Linked DNA regions of Caenorhabditis elegans. The protein of the gene in region 1 interacts with the protein of each later gene in a pairwise test. Each region holds a gene or a part of one and is shown on either strand. Other genes may lie near its edges.

The links. The genes of interacting proteins can lie anywhere in the genome.
Region 2: the proteins of srlf-35 (region 1) and rpb-8 interact in a two-hybrid assay, tested with the Caenorhabditis elegans proteins (one large-scale study listed by BioGRID).
Region 3: the proteins of srlf-35 (region 1) and F32D8.4 interact in a two-hybrid assay, tested with the Caenorhabditis elegans proteins (one large-scale study listed by BioGRID).

The regions. Positions count from the first base shown.
Region 1 is NC_003283.11:500,693-506,427, reverse strand, and holds srlf-35 (SXP/RAL-2 family protein Ani s 5-like cation-binding domain-containing protein), read right to left. Parts: upstream 2,401-5,735; 5' UTR 2,390-2,400; coding exon 2,201-2,389; intron 2,132-2,200; coding exon 1,856-2,131; 3' UTR 1,796-1,855; downstream 1-1,795. Other genes in the region: srlf-19 (SXP/RAL-2 family protein Ani s 5-like cation-binding domain-containing protein), read right to left, coding at 423-671, 715-906; T01G6.10 (DeHydrogenases, Short chain), read left to right, coding at 3,205-3,474, 3,633-3,821, 3,870-4,040, 4,089-4,286; str-256 (Serpentine receptor class r-10), read left to right, coding at 5,098-5,280, 5,327-5,414, 5,466-5,544.
Region 2 is NC_003281.10:4,916,743-4,920,905, forward strand, and holds rpb-8 (putative DNA-directed RNA polymerases I, II, and III subunit RPABC3), read right to left. Parts: upstream 1,267-4,163; 5' UTR 1,264-1,266; coding exon 1,157-1,263; intron 1,100-1,156; coding exon 973-1,099; intron 837-972; coding exon 624-836; 3' UTR 501-623; downstream 1-500. Other genes in the region: rars-1 (putative arginine--tRNA ligase, cytoplasmic), read right to left, coding at 3-268, 315-365; ula-1 (NEDD8-activating enzyme E1 regulatory subunit), read right to left, coding at 1,657-1,875, 1,922-2,497, 2,544-2,728, 2,780-2,889, 2,934-3,023, 3,076-3,412, 3,460-3,574; mmab-1 (Corrinoid adenosyltransferase MMAB), read right to left, coding at 3,806-3,938, 3,985-4,163. UniProt on the Caenorhabditis elegans protein: DNA-dependent RNA polymerase catalyzes the transcription of DNA into RNA using the four ribonucleoside triphosphates as substrates.
Region 3 is NC_003283.11:10,891,097-10,896,527, forward strand, and holds F32D8.4 (PIH1 N-terminal domain-containing protein), read right to left. Parts: upstream 2,465-5,431; coding exon 2,282-2,464; intron 2,237-2,281; coding exon 2,129-2,236; intron 2,083-2,128; coding exon 1,972-2,082; intron 1,925-1,971; coding exon 1,727-1,924; intron 1,675-1,726; coding exon 1,562-1,674; intron 784-1,561; coding exon 621-783; 3' UTR 501-620; downstream 1-500. Other genes in the region: F32D8.14 (Protein YIPF), read right to left, coding at 2,660-3,222, 3,285-3,383, 3,436-3,516, 3,562-3,604; F32D8.5 (Transmembrane protein 70 homolog, mitochondrial), read left to right, coding at 3,831-3,921, 3,966-4,111, 4,157-4,265, 4,319-4,419, 4,466-4,702; F32D8.13 (Phosphomevalonate kinase), read right to left, coding at 4,709-4,733, 4,786-5,082, 5,129-5,240, 5,291-5,431.

The DNA.
Region 1 (5,735 bases):
AAATTTTAAAATTTATTTACATGTAGTTTTGTGTAGGTTTAGATCACAAGATCAAACAAATAAAAAATTATAATGAAACTAGCGACAAAAGTTGTAACCTATTCTTTCAATAAAATCGAAGTTTTTTCTCCAAAAACTGTACGTAGATGGTTTTTGAATTTACGCTTTTTTGTCTGCAAATTTATTCGTTTTTCAGCCAGAACACTTATTTAAAAAAAATTAAGAAAAACTGAAGCAACGCTGGCTCAAATGAAGCTGATTTTTTGAATTTTTTACACTTAGATTAACAGTATTTGCTGTAGACTTACAAAACCTTGTGTAGATTTATAGAGTCTTGTGTAAATTTACGGGACATCTGAAGTCGTATAAAAATTTATTAATCGCAAATAAATTAAAATTTTAGGTGCTTAGCTTCTAAGCCTCTAAACCTTCATTCCCATAGCTTTCTTCCACATTTTTCTGATGAAAAGCAGAACTGGAACCTCTTGCCAGTATTGCTCCTCAAGTGAGTCGATGGCTTCTTCCTCCTGATCGCGAGTGAGATTTTTGTTGCTCAAAATCGCTTCAAGTTGAGCTTGAACTGAAGATAGTTGGGAGATGATTTGTGTTGTGTTTTTGCTCATGAAATTCTCATTATCCTGTTGTTTCTTGGTATATGCAGTGTACTGATCCTAAAATTAAAAGTTTGAAATTTCTTCAGCAATCTAAACATACCGAAAGATTATTGGTCTGAGCCCACTGTTGAAGCTGCTCATCCTTTTGAAGTTTTGTCAGCTGGGAATTGCGTACAATTGTAGCATAGGACTTTTGCATGTTATCTGGCAAATCCTTCACGAAATTTGGTTTGTTGTAACTAGCAGCAGCAGTCACAGCAATCAGAACAGCGAGGATAAAATAGGAGGCCATGTCTTCAAATAAGCTTTGATAATTTTTGATTCAAAAACATTGTCCTTAAATACCATGTATTCCGTGACGTATGAAAATCGTGTTACACACGACATATTTGCTAGCTTAAAAGGCTACTGAAGAATCAAGAGAATGCACTCAAAACATTGAACTCTGGCTAGACTTTGCGGTAAACAACGTGTTTTGGGAGCTGCAACAAATAGAGAAATTGGCTAAAAGTTCAGAAAACTCAGCGAAACACTGAGCAGAAACCATAGTAATCAGGAACATAGAATTATGAGCGGCCGACACATTATAGGTTGGATTTTGATAAGGCTCGCAGCCGACATCTTGCAGATTTACTCAAAGATTGACATATAATTGTTTAATGTTACTTTATAAAATTCAAGAAGGTCTTACAAAATTCAGTTTCTAGTTTTGAAAATTTTCAGAAAAAAAATTAATTGATATTTTTTCACAGTTTTTTAACAAATTGTTAATGGAAAAATGGAAAAACTAAAGGAAAAAATCTACATAACTTCACAAATATTTGAGAAAATATTAAAAACATTTAGATGACTTTAGAATGATGTTTATTTTGGTGAAAAAGTTTTCAAAAAAGTTCAAACAATTTTCTGAATGTCGAAAATTTTTGGAATTTTCCCAAGATTTTCAAAAATGAATTGTAAAATTATAATACTTGAAGACTGAGTTTTTACCTTTTTTTTTGACTATAATTTAATTTTTTTTAATTTCTGAAAATTTTTACAATAATTTTTGGATATTTTAACAATTATAGGAACCTAGGAAGCGGTCCGATATTTCACTTTTTTTTGACACATTACATCTTTCATGAAATATCCTGAGGCTGTTTTTAAAATTTTTTCAACAAAAACAATACCGCTTTTAATTCCATTTATGTGTCCTCTAAAGTTAAAACCATTCATTAGAAAAAAAAAACTTCAAAAACTTAAAATGATTCATAACTGTCATCATGGTCATCATCGATTCCCATTCTTTTCATGGAAACTTCCCGAATGTGGAACAAAACTGAAACTTCTTGAGGGTACTGGTATCTAAGAGACTGGATAGCCTGTCGCTTCTGAGCTCCCGTTTGATTATCGTTGTTCAGAATGGATTCAAGCTGGTTTTGAACTGTTGATAACTGGGAAATTATTTGAGAAGTCTGCTGGCTGACTTGTTGCTCTTGTTGGCTCCGTTGTTGTGTGTAGCTGGAGTATTCGTTCTGGAAAATTATTGTGATTTCAGATTTTTATTTTCAAATTTAAAAAATTCAAAATTTCAGAGAACTCACCGAAAGATTATTCATCTGAGCCCATTGCTGAAGCTGCTGGTTCTTCTGCATCTGACTTAGCTGATAGTTCTTAGCAATTGCAAAATAAGACTGTTGAATATTTCTCGGCTGATATCTCAAGAACATTGGTCCGTCGAAATCGGCAAAAACTACAGCGAACAGAGCAATAATTGAAAGGTAAGACTTCATTTTGGAGTGATTTGGTAAAGTGTCTCCTCAATTTATATACTAGGTGCCCATAGTATTGGCATAGTATCTGTTTGTGCCACTGGTGAACTTTTGTGTTTGCTCTTGTAGTCTTTTGAAAAGAGTTGTTAGGCAGTTAGGTAGTCTACGTTTATGAGTCACTGAAAAAAAATCATTTTTTGAAGAAAGATCAAAAGTAGGGGAACTTTTTAAAAAACATCTAGAAGTTTTCAGAAATTTATCCGAAATTGTTCAAAGTTATCTAGATGTCGAGATTCGAAAAAAAAAGTTTAAAAAACAATTTTTTATATTTTATTCTTAGAAAATGTGAATTTTGCACCAATACTTTTCTCAGAACATGAAGATTTGAATTCCCGCCAAAGAAATGGACTGAAAATTTTAATTTCCCTTTAAAAAAAACTGCAATGAAAATGCGAATTTCCCGTCTTTTTTTTAATTCCCAGGAATTTTTACCCCTGAAACTTTGAACATTCGCCCAAATTTTTTCACAATAAAATAAGTTTTCTAGTTTTCGCGGAAAATTTTAAAAACTTGCACTATTTTTATATTTTATATAAGTTTGATATATTTTTAAGTAATTATGAGTAACCTGAACCCTTTTGGTCATAGATTTTTTGACACACTGAGAGATAAGCACAAAAAGAGACACAGACGTCCAACGCATGTGCTTACACATTCAGCTTTATACCTTCTAGTCACAGACGCTGTCCCCCTCCGACACATTTTCCAAAACTATAAAAGATGTTGGAGAGCAGCTCAAAAATATCACTTTCATACTTATTCTTTACCTTTTCTCTATGAACCGCTTCTCTGGAAAGTCTGTCATCGTGACAGGATCTTCAAGTGGAATTGGTCGAGCCACTGCGGTGCTCTTTGCGAAATATGGAGCCCAGGTAACAATCACTGGTAGAGATGCTGGAAAACTCGAGGCTACCAAGAAAAAGATGCTGAAGGTCATGAAGAATCCGGAGAATGTGTGTGTTGTCGTGGCGAACTTGACGGATTCTGATGGGCAAGACGAGATTGTGCAATCGGCGCTCGATGCTTTTGGGAGGATTGATGTACTGGTAAGTGAAGGTATGCTTATCTGTTTAAATCATTAGAGATCCAATGTTGCGCGTCAAATATTATGTAGTCATTTTTGCTCGATTTTGTACATGTGCTTAAAAAATGTACTGCGCATCTCTGACCGCAGTTTTTTTAAACACTTTTTCTCACCTTCCAGGTGAACAACGCCGGTGCCAATGTGGTCGACGGTACCTTTAACACTGATCAATCTACCGAGCTGTACCATAAAACATTTCAAATCAATTTTGAAGCCGTCATCGAGATGGTGAAAAAAACCAAAAATCACCTGATCGAATCGAAAGGTGAAATTGTGAATGTCTCCAGTGTAGCTGCAGGACCACAGGCGGTTTGTTGCTCCATAAATTTCTACCAAACTAAAACCGGATATTTTCAGCTTGCTCCATCCCCCTATTACGCAGCCTCCAAAGCCGCCCTAGACCAATACACACGTTGCGTGGCACTTGATCTCATCTTGCAAGGGGTTCGTGTTAATTCAGTGAGCCCGGGTGTCGTCACGTCCGGGTTTCTGGGGGCAATGGGAATGTCGGAGCAGGTCCAGAAACAGGTAAACGAAATTGTTCCATGATTGCTGTAAATTTGATAGAAATTTTAGATCGAAGAGAACTTCACTTCTAACAGAGCCTGCATTCCTGCAGGAGTTTGCGGAAAGCCTGAGGACATCGCCGAGCTTATTATTTTTTTGGCGGATCGCAAGAGATCTTCTTACATAATAGGACAGTCGATTGTGGCCGATGGAGGAACTTCTTTGGTTTCAGGGCTCACCGCTCAAAACATTCAGCGAAACAATTGATTTTTCAATTATATTGATGTCTATTTGCAATTTAATAAATGAATATTTTTTTGAATTTTCAACACCCGTGACGAATACATGATTTACAGGATTTGTTTCTTATATAAATACAACTTTATCACTTTACCTATTTCTGTCCAAACAAACAACACATGAACTCTACTCTAAAACAGCTTAAGTTTTTTCGTATATGCTGAAAGATTAAATTTTGAAAACCATCACACCACAACCTTAAACAAAGTACATTAACCCTACAGTACTACTACAGTACCTTGACATTATCCATTACCAACTCCCAACGCAATATCCCTTCAAAAGCTGAAAAATCAAATTTTCCTAAACTACAGTAACCCTGCAGTAACCCTACAGTACCCCTACAGTACTACTACAGTACTTTGGCATTATCCATCACCAACTCCCAACGCAATATCCCTTCAACTACAGTTCCAACCGTTCCAAATGTGACTGAAATTGCAGTTTTAGCTGTCAATGAAAATTTATTCCAAAAAATTAACTTTTCTTTAAAAAAACAGTTATTTTCTGTTATTATCAGTTATTTTCCAGAAATCTGGCACATTTCAAACCGGAACTACAACACTGTTATTTGAACCAACTGATACGTGATTCACTATCCACATTGTACATTTTTGAGGAATATTATGACGTTATAGTGTTTTTGCCTACAATTTCCTAGTAAGTGGGAAGTGAATTTTTGATCTAAATTTTGTACTCGACTGGGCGTTTTCACGGAATTTCAAATAATTTCATGTATTATTACATTTTCAATTTCATTTACATTTCAGATTGGAATATGAAAATCGACGACATTGTTTTTCTGAATTCATCGGCCGTTTTCGCAATTGCTATCATCTTTCTACTCATATGCCTCATTCTCAAAAAATCTCCGCAATCCTTAGGATCATACAAGTATCTCATGATTTATATTGATCTTTTCGAGCTGGCTTATGCTTTTTTGTATTTTTTGGAAAAACCGGTAAGTTAATCGCAAATAGCAGCCTTGAAAAATTTGGAAATGCCAGAAACTTCTGACAAAAGAATCGGCATTTTTCTTGATTGTCAATTGGAAAGAATCGTTGTTTCCAAAGTTTGTAGTTTGCGTTCTAGACTGTAAGTTTTCAAGAGAGAAGCACAACTTACAATGTGTGTGCTATTTTGCAGTACTATTTGTTGGTTGCTTCGGATTTTCCATCGCGATTCTTGCACTTCACTTCATTTATCGATTTTTCAGCATTACAAAGTAAGTTGAAGCTAAGCTAACTATAATGATACTTTGAAGTTGTATTTGTACCATTAAATTCATAAGAGGCAGGCGCGGTTTCAGGACCTGACGCGAAATGTGGTTCTTTCGCCGTGACCGACACTTTTCAGGTTCCGCGCCGCACTATACAGTGAGATCGGCTTGCGGCGCGAGGCATGCGGAGGTCGCCG
Region 2 (4,163 bases), on another chromosome or scaffold:
ACGTTTTGCCGTCTTTTTTGGCCTTCTTCTCGGCTGGAGCAGAGGTAGAAGAAGATGGAGAACTAGTTGATGTTGCTTTCACACCATTTTTCTTGTTCTTGGCTGCCTGTTCGGCAATGCTCTTCTCGAGAATCGACTTCCGGTATTTGAGCTTATCGTTCAATTTCTTGGCATCGCCGAGTTCCGGAATATGTTCCAAAAGTTCGTCAGTAAGCTCTCCCTTTTGCATGGCAGTTATGAGACGATTCAGAAGCGCAGCTTGGTCGGACTGAAATGATAAAAAAAACTTCCACATCTTGTGAATTAAAACTCACCGCTGCTGAGTAGTCAGAGTATCCTTGTTGCAGCTCTTTATTGGCTGACATTTTGTAAACCCTGAAAAGCACACTGCTGGAAATAAATTTGAGAATATCAAAGAAGATATTTAACAGGCTTGCTGCACTGAAAATTACAAAATAGTCAATTACTTTAATTGTAACAATGTAAATTTCATGTAAAAGAAAATTCGGTCTGACAAATCAGAATAAGATCAAATTGAGTGAAGATTGGAAAGAGATAAAAAACAGTAGAACAAATAGAAAACGGATCAACAAATGAAATAATCAATAACTTTCAGTCGCGGATTAGAAGTCAGTCTTCTTCATGAGAAGGTACAGATTCATGTCGACCTCGAAACCATGCAAATTGATAGCCTCGCCCTTCAAACGCATCAGTAGACCGCCAAACGAAGCATAAGCAGCGAGCTTTCCGCCGTCAGTTCCAGTATCATCGTCTTCCAAGCGGTAAACTTTTCCGTACATCACATATTCATACTGTTTGATTCTTGGGTATTCTGCCTGAAAGGGAAACGATTGAGTTACACAATAAGTGAAATGTAGTTTTCAATTTCAGTTATCTAATCAGTTATCCAAGTCAAAACGAGACAGGTAGTGCAAACATATATTTAAAAAATGTAAAAAGATAAAAACTCACTTTTGGATCATATTCTCCTTCATCGGCAAGTCCGTCTTCTCGGAGTGTAGTGGCCAGAACAAGACGAACTTTGTCGTTCTGCTTCAGTGGATAGATCTGCGAGTTGATATCAATGATAAGCTCCATTCTAAAAAATTTTCAATTCTCATAGTCAGTAAAAAAGTTAATGTTAAAATAATCTCACTTGAAAGACTCAGCATCGCAGAAGTATCGAGAAACTCTGTCGAATTTTTTGCCGTCTGGATCCACGCTTTTCACTTTGAACATATCGTCGAAAATAATTCCAGCCATTTTCTAAAATAAAGAAAGTTTTTATCATAAGAAACAGCAATAAGCAGTTGGTAAACAAGAAAAAATTGAGGAAAGAAACTCGAAGAAATGGAAAACCGAAACAAAAAACTTAAAGGTGCAAACATTTACGCGCGCGGGTTTCGCAACGATTCTCTCTTTTTTGCGCGGGCATTCAAATTGGGGTTTCCGGGGATATCTAAAAATGGGAGATGAGCGAATTGCAATGTTCCAATGTCCATGAATATGTTCATGAATATATTCAGTATGTCAATCTTGAATCAAAGTTTTATTTTGTAAATTTTAAATCTTTGCTGATAATAAGGCTCATTTACAAATGTCATGCCACAAGGAACAGTTTCAAAACCAAATTCGCGAAATAACCAATAAATTAAACTAAAATTTGAATGTTGCCGACTCCTGAGTATGTCCATCAAAAATGAATGTGTTATCAATGGGAACATATTGATTGGTAGCCAATTTGATAATCTCTTGAGCAGCTATTCCACCGACGTACGATGAAATGACATGTAACTCCGCAGCACCAAAACGACAAATTTCAGCGATAGCAGTGTCTGTCACTTTATTTGAGATTGATGTGAAGTCCTGTTCATCCTAAAATTTGTTAATAGTTTTAATTTCACTAACGAATGTAATAAACCTTCAAAGCTTCTCGAATCAAAACTTCAACTCTCTTCTTCAAATCTTGAGCATCAATTGAAACTGGAACTCCATTAGTTCCTGGGTAACGTCCTTTTTCTTTTTGGAACCTTCCAACTGCCCTCATCAGTAGCATCCACGTGGCTTCATCAACTTTCTGATTTCTAGTCTCTTCATCAATATTGCTTTCACGAATTTTCTCAACAATTGCTTTGGTTTCTTCGTTGTAGTCAAGCACATCGCCATACTGAACTCGAATCCGATCAGCGTTCTTACAGAAACGATAGCAAACGTCATCCGATATGACGTCACCAACACCTCGTTCCTTCTCTACTTCACGTGTCAAACGAAGCACTTCCTGAGCATCTGAAAGAGCTTTTTCGTGGAAAAGAGTTGCGAGGCGAGTGTATCGAGAAGAATCAGAAGTCATATCAGGAAGAGTTCCACGAAGAGGCAGAAGATTATTATTCTCGGTGACAAAACGACGAAGAGCTTCACAGATTAACCAGAATGGGCGTGTCGATGTTGAACATTGTGGAGAAGAGAGAATCGATTTTACAGAAGAACCAATCTGAAACTTACTAGAAATGAGAATCAATTTGGATAATTTATCAAAAACTTACCGTAGTTCTTTGAAAAGCTCGAATAACCGCCGCTTTCGCCTCATCAAAATTCTCAGAATCCTTGGTTCCGGATTCTTCACTCGAACGTCGGAAACTCATAAGAATCGCCTGAAGTTCTTTACGTTCCGCAGTTGTAGATGGGAACGCTTCAGGATCATTTCGTTGCTTTCTGAATACTTCGAGAGCTGAAATTAAGAAGGTAAATAACAGAATACAACCATAATTGCGAGAAAAACCTTTGAAGTGAAGAAGAATATACGGAGTATGGCGGAGTTGTTCTAGAGTCATTTCATCTAGATTTGTTTCATTGATCATTTCAATAAGCTTTGAAAATGGAGCATCCAATCTGAGAAATAAAAACTTTTTTGGAAGTTTTCATGTATATTTTACCGTAAATCAGGTCTCGGATTCTCTTCGTGTGAGTTAGCAATTGTGTGTTCTTTGATGCAGATTCGAATGGTACCAATTAGTCCAAAAGTTCTGAATTTTGGAATTTTAACTGCAAGAACTTCAAATTTTGAAAATATCGTACTTGATACAGATGAATGGAACTCTAATATTATACAAAACTTTCGCGAACGTCGTATCAATTTCTTCATTTTGATTTGCAGCAACAACCACAGAAAACGTTGTCAGCTTTTCCACATCTTCCATAGCTAACGCTGTTGGTGGCTGACTACTTGCACTACCAGAGACTGATGGATTCAGTTCGGTAAGCTTCTCCAATGTTGCCTCGGCACGAGAACGTCCAATATCATCTGCATGGAGGAAGAAATTCTGACCGATGTCAGCTTGTTCAACTTTGGCGTCATCAACGACATAGAATGATTGAACACCGGCGAGAACCAACGATTTCAATATTTCTGTTGCTAAAAATATTTAGATTGGATTTTTAATTCAATTTTTTCAAAAATACCTAGCGAATCGCTTCCAAGAACACATGCACTTGTTGAACCAATTGATGCTTGTCCTTCTTCTCCCCAAAGTCGAACTTGACGATCGTATCTAGTGGATGGGTCAAATGGTAGCATTTTCTAAAATTATACAAGTTGGAAATCTGAAAATTTCGTTTTGGTTTCTAAACAAAAATATACATTATGAAGAGTTCACAATCAATTAATATAAAAAATTATAAAGAATCTCAAAAAAGAAAAATATATATAGACAAATCTGATATTTATGGCAAGATTATTCAATAAAAATTTTACACGAAGTGTATGGCGAGTTTCACAAGAATGATAACTACATATTTATAAAAAAAATTATTTTTTCTCGTGAAGAGATTTACGATCCCATTTCAAATTGGTGAACGAATCGGGGCGAAGATATGTCAGCTCTTCGTTCTTGTTTCTCATGCAGGCAGTACGACCGAGAACAAATAGAAGATCGCTCATTCTGAAATTGATATTTCTTACTAACGATGAATCGATAACCATAGTACCTATTCAAGAACTTTAATGCCATTGGATCGACGTCTTCGTCTCTCATAAGTGGAACAATACTCCGTTCAGCTCGACGACAAATTGCGCGGGAATACTGTAATTGAGCAGACGTCATTCCACCGCCAGAAAGAATAAATTGTCGGATTGCAGGCAACGCGTCTCCGTATCGATCGATTTC
Region 3 (5,431 bases), about 10 Mb from region 1:
ATGTCATACGTGATGGGTTGATCGTAGTTGAAGAACTGGACTCTGATGTAACACAGAAAACGGGCAAACCAATAAGTTCAATGAAACATTGACATGAAACATCGAGATGGAAGACGCAGGATGAGAAACATTGAAAATAGTGTTGGTTTCTACGTGATGAAGACGAAAATGGAGAATTAGAGAAGAAATACGTTAAAATAAGCTTTTTCTTGTTTAGAAACCTTCAGAAAAATAGAAATAACTTTGCATTTATTGAGTTGTGAATTAGTCCGCTTTCTTACTTTGAAAATAATTTACTTCGAAATAGGATTCTGCACGGGCAAAAAACATCAAAAATGGTTAATTTTTGTTTTCATAGGATATTTTATTGACTGTTTCGTTGTTTGAACTTCAAAAAGTCGCAATATGCATGTGATGTTTTTTAGGATCGAAACGCTCTGGATCTTATTTTAGTTGATTATATCTATTCGGCGATTTTCAAAAGCAATAATATAGATTTTTTTTTAAATTTTAATCAGTAAAACAAATCTGAAAAATTCCAAAACTGGGAACAAAATCAACAAGTAGAAAAACAACGGCATTCAACAATAGAGATCTAGAAGAAACGCGAGATTACAGTATCACAACAGAATGTTTGCTGAAACCACTAGTGTGAATTTTTCGTGGTTGAATTTGGATTTGGCTGTGGACGGATTGATGTGAAATGGGAGTCCGAAATCATAAAGGCTGCGACTTTTATCCAACGTTACCAAGCATCGAGTGGGGTTGAGTTGGAGTTCTAGTCTGAAAAATATTAAGCTTTTAAAAAAAGCTTTCAAGTTATCAATTTTAGGTTTTTCAAAATCAGGTATTTTTTGCTTCTGCTTCTTTACGTACAAATTGGAAATTAGCTTTGTAGCCTCTTATGGATTAAAAACTTTTATACAGTTTTTCACACCTACAAACTTATCAATAATAAGTCTTGCACGTAAAACTAATATAGATAATAATGAAGTCTGTGTTTTTGAGAATCTTGAGAAATTCTAGACGATTTTGGAAAATTATTTATCATCGGGTAGAAATTAAATTACGATACATTTTTTTTAATGTTACGGCCTGTGGGGAAATGATTAAACACCATTCCTGCGGTGCTAAAACTGCGAAATAAATATAACTGTTGGAAAAATTTTGGAAATATGTTTATTTCGAGTCAAAAACTCAATTTTCACGAATTTTCTGAAAGTCGATTAAACAATTTGTCTTCCAATTTTATGTTTTAATTATGTTCAAAATATTCATATTATTACATTATAGGGTTCAAACATCCGACAGTAATTTAGATTTTTTTTTAAAATAAAATAAAAAAATAAAAATTTGTCAAAATGTTTTTTTTTAATTTATTATGAAATTTCGACATTTTAGCATAATAGGGATGGATTTCAATCATTTCCCCACTGGCCATAGTCAACATTTGAAATTGAAAGAAAAATCGATGATTTTAATTATGTGTTCACACTTTTTGAAAACTCAACTCGCATTTTGATTGTTTATATTTCAACTGAATTTAAAATAATGTACCCACCTTCTAGGATCTTTGATTGGTTCGCCATTAAGTTCACATCGCATACTGATTTCGAGTCTGTCACCATCAAAAAGTCGTATTCTTGTTCCATCAATGTGTTTCAGGCCAAACATCTAAAGGAGACATTTTAAAGTTAAAATTATTGTTGCAACAAAAATAACTAACCTCATTTTTCATTTCAGCAACATCATCATTTCCAACTTGCTTTTTTTCTTCTTTCTCCATTCTAACTTTATCTTCCTGATACATTTCTTCGACAATCTGTTTTTCTGGTTTTTTGTGAATTTTTTGTACTTCAAGTTCTCCAACTGAAACACGATTGCGAAGAACGATTGGTTTCAATGGGTCTAAGTCAATGGAGTGCTGAATTTAAGAATTATGTTATTTCAATTGATAAAATTTCAACTGACTCTATCCTTCACAAGATCGCAGAAAATTAGACAAAGGAGATGACGGAAGAATGCGTCATTTGGAGACGCTAGTCGTTTTTTATAGAATGTGCTGTTTACCAAAACATCAATCTAAAAACATTTCATACTAACAATCAAACATTTATAATTAAACTACCTTGATCGAATTTTCATCACTATGATCTTTCACGCAGTCAATTTCGCCAACACTCATCGGAATTCGAAATGACGGATTTCCAGCATCTAATTGAGCAGCAATTTCATCCTTTAAAAATAGTTGATATTACGGAAATAATTTCAAAATACCTACTTGATCAAAATCGTCGATTGGTGGCGGTAATTGCTCGCAATGGCATACATTTACAAAACACTTTCGGTATTCATCGTTTACAATTCCATTGATTTTTACATCCTTCCATTTACACACATAACCTGGAAGTGGTTTGATGAGCCACGTTTCCGCTTCCTCCTTTTTTTCAATTTTAAGATCCATCTGAAACAATTTCAGTATTTCCAGATATACGAAACCAAAAAGTATGCAAACGAGTTTTAACATTAAGTTTGTAAATCAAGATCAGGATCAATGACAAAAAATAGTTTATGATAATGAATTAATTGAGGCACTATACTCATAAATAATGATAATAAATTACTCAAGTATTTAAACTATTCACAAGAAGACACGACGTTAGAAAATGGCAAGAAGGGCGAAAACAGAGTAGAGAAGAACACACGGATATGCAACGAGAAGACGTTGGTGATCCATTGACAAAGCGATTACAAACAATTTTGATGAAGCAGAAGAACACCAAAGGACAGCAAGCGACGATATAATATACCCGATAATGCCCTTGAATGATAATACAGCTGTAACAATGCTCAGAAGAGCCATTGGAAGTAGACAATATCCAAGAACTGATGCGGTGCAGGTGAAGGAAATATTTTTCTCGTCCGTTGCCATGAGATTCATGAGGGCATAAATTCCAACGCATCCAAGTCCGCCAACTCCATAGATAAATCCAAACGAGAGTTTGCCGTGAAGAAGAAGAGCGGCTCCAAAAAGAAGACAGAAGACGAGAGGTCCAGCAAGATCTTGATCAGCAATAACTTCGACAGTTGCAGATCCAGTTGGATTTAAAACAGCAATAGTTTTCTCCTTGATATGTGAGAAGTTAATTCCGAGTTCTTCCAAGAGTGGTGGCTCATTTTCATAGTCTTCGCCATCAGCAGCAACACCGGCGTTTGGAATTGCTGAAAATTGTAGAATTAAAAATGCATTTCAGAATGAAGAATTGATATAAATATATATGTACCTCCCGTCCCGTTGTTTGGCATGAACATTTGTCCTCCATAATAATTGGTTTGTGGTTGTTGATATTGTTGATTTTGTTGATAGTAGTCGTTTCCAGCTTCTGAAGGTGAAATGATATTCAAGAAATTTGTTTAATTACAAATAAATCTCACGCTGCGGTGGCTGTTGTGGCTGCGAGTAATCAAATTGACCCCAACCCATGTCTTGTTGATTTGTTTGAGTGTTCCATCCTCCTGAAAATTATAAAACTATAAACATTATACTTTAAATAAAAATACCCTGTTGTTGTTGTCCATCATCCATCCAAAATCCATTCGACATATTGAGAGTATAATCAAAAATTTATTGAAATGATGTGGCAAATGAAGAGATTTTTCGTTGTAACAGTGAAGCAGTAGAGCGCACTTGTGTCGCGGCCTAGAAATGTTTGAACGAACTCTGGTCCGTGTACTCCTCTTGGACAACTTAATCTTGAGTGAAATCTTCCTGCGCTGAACCTGCTTTTAATAAATTTCAACACTTAGCTTCTTGGTAGTATCAATAAATTATGTCTTCATTATATGCATTGCTCCGCCCGATTAGAATCAGCTCATCGAACTTTCAAAAATGTGTAAGAAGTCTTGGAACAACGTCAAAGTGTAAGCGATTTATTTCAAATTTCAAATTATTGTTTCCATCTGAGTTTCAGGCAACGTCGAAGTTCTACCATTGTCAAAGATTGATAAAGATGACTTGGGACACTCCATTCTAATCCACAAGGGAACATTACCTCCCGGATCACAAAAAACTCCTCATGATGTAGTCGCGATGGGTGTGAAAGGAGCTAAAGTTCGTTCAACGGAGCATGTTCTTTTGTCTTAATCAAAAATTCAGATTCTGTCACTGTCTTCATCTCTTGCCGGAGTAGTCATGGTTCCCGTGCTATCCTCCTATTTGTGGGAAGCAGCTGCTGAAAGACCTTCGATGATGATGTTTGCAATTGGTAAGAATTATCTCTATTGAAGAACGGATTATTTCAAATTTCATTATTTTCAGTGGCCAACACCTTCCTCGTCCTGCTATCTTTCACTCCGCTACTACTTCATTTTCTTGCAAAACGATTTCCCATCGACATATTTTACAATAATGACAAAAAGGTAGTGCATGACCATTTTCTAATCCATTTCAAAAACATTTTAACAGGTGTTCACAACTGTTCATTACAATTTCTTAATGCAAAAACAAGCATTGAGATTCTCAGCTTCTGAAGTTGTCGATGCAGCCGTAGCTCCCGAAATGAAGAAAGTATGGATCCCTCTGGCAACAGCTTTTGTGGGCAAGCGGCCGCTTCTCATTTCCCTTGATCGAAATGCATATCTTGACAAATTGGCATTTGATGACCTCACAAAAAATGTTCACATTCCACCAAATCACGATTGAGAATTTTTATTCCTTGTTGATAGGTAGCTTTCTATTCAGTTGTTTTTTATCGTTATTGTTCAATAATTGAAAGATTTTCTTACAATTTATCAATGATTCGGGAAATCTTTTCAGTAACCATATTTAGTTGTTGAGATAAATCTGTTCCGCTTTGATTTTTGATAACTAAGTTGAATTTGTAGTCGTCAAGTCCACATTCAGATTCGGCATCATCGACACCTTCGACAAATTGGTAGCCTCGTTGTTTTCTATCCTCTTCACTTGTCTCGATTCGAATCGTTACAGTTCTGTAGTTGGCACTGAAATATTCATAGTCTGTCCTTCGTCGGCAGTCGGATATAATAACTATGTCGCTGTCCATTGTTGAACTGATCGCCGCTCTTAAATACTATAATTTGTCAAATACAATTTCAAGTTTCCAACAACCTGCAAAACAATCCGGAATCTTTACATCTCGCTTCTTCTCCCCACTGGATCATATCTTTTCTATACAGCTCTTTGTATGGCCCGTCAGTTAGAAGTTCTTCATACTTTAAACCTGAAAAATCCTATTTTCGAATGATCAAACTCTACTTTCAAACAAAGCACCATGTTTCTTAGCAAATTCCATTTTCAGGCTATGTGAAATACCCGCAACTGAAACATCAAATCGCTTTTGCACCAATACTTCTCTGATCAAGTTTGTACAGTAATCTTTTCCAGATTTTCGTTTACCGGATATGGCTATCA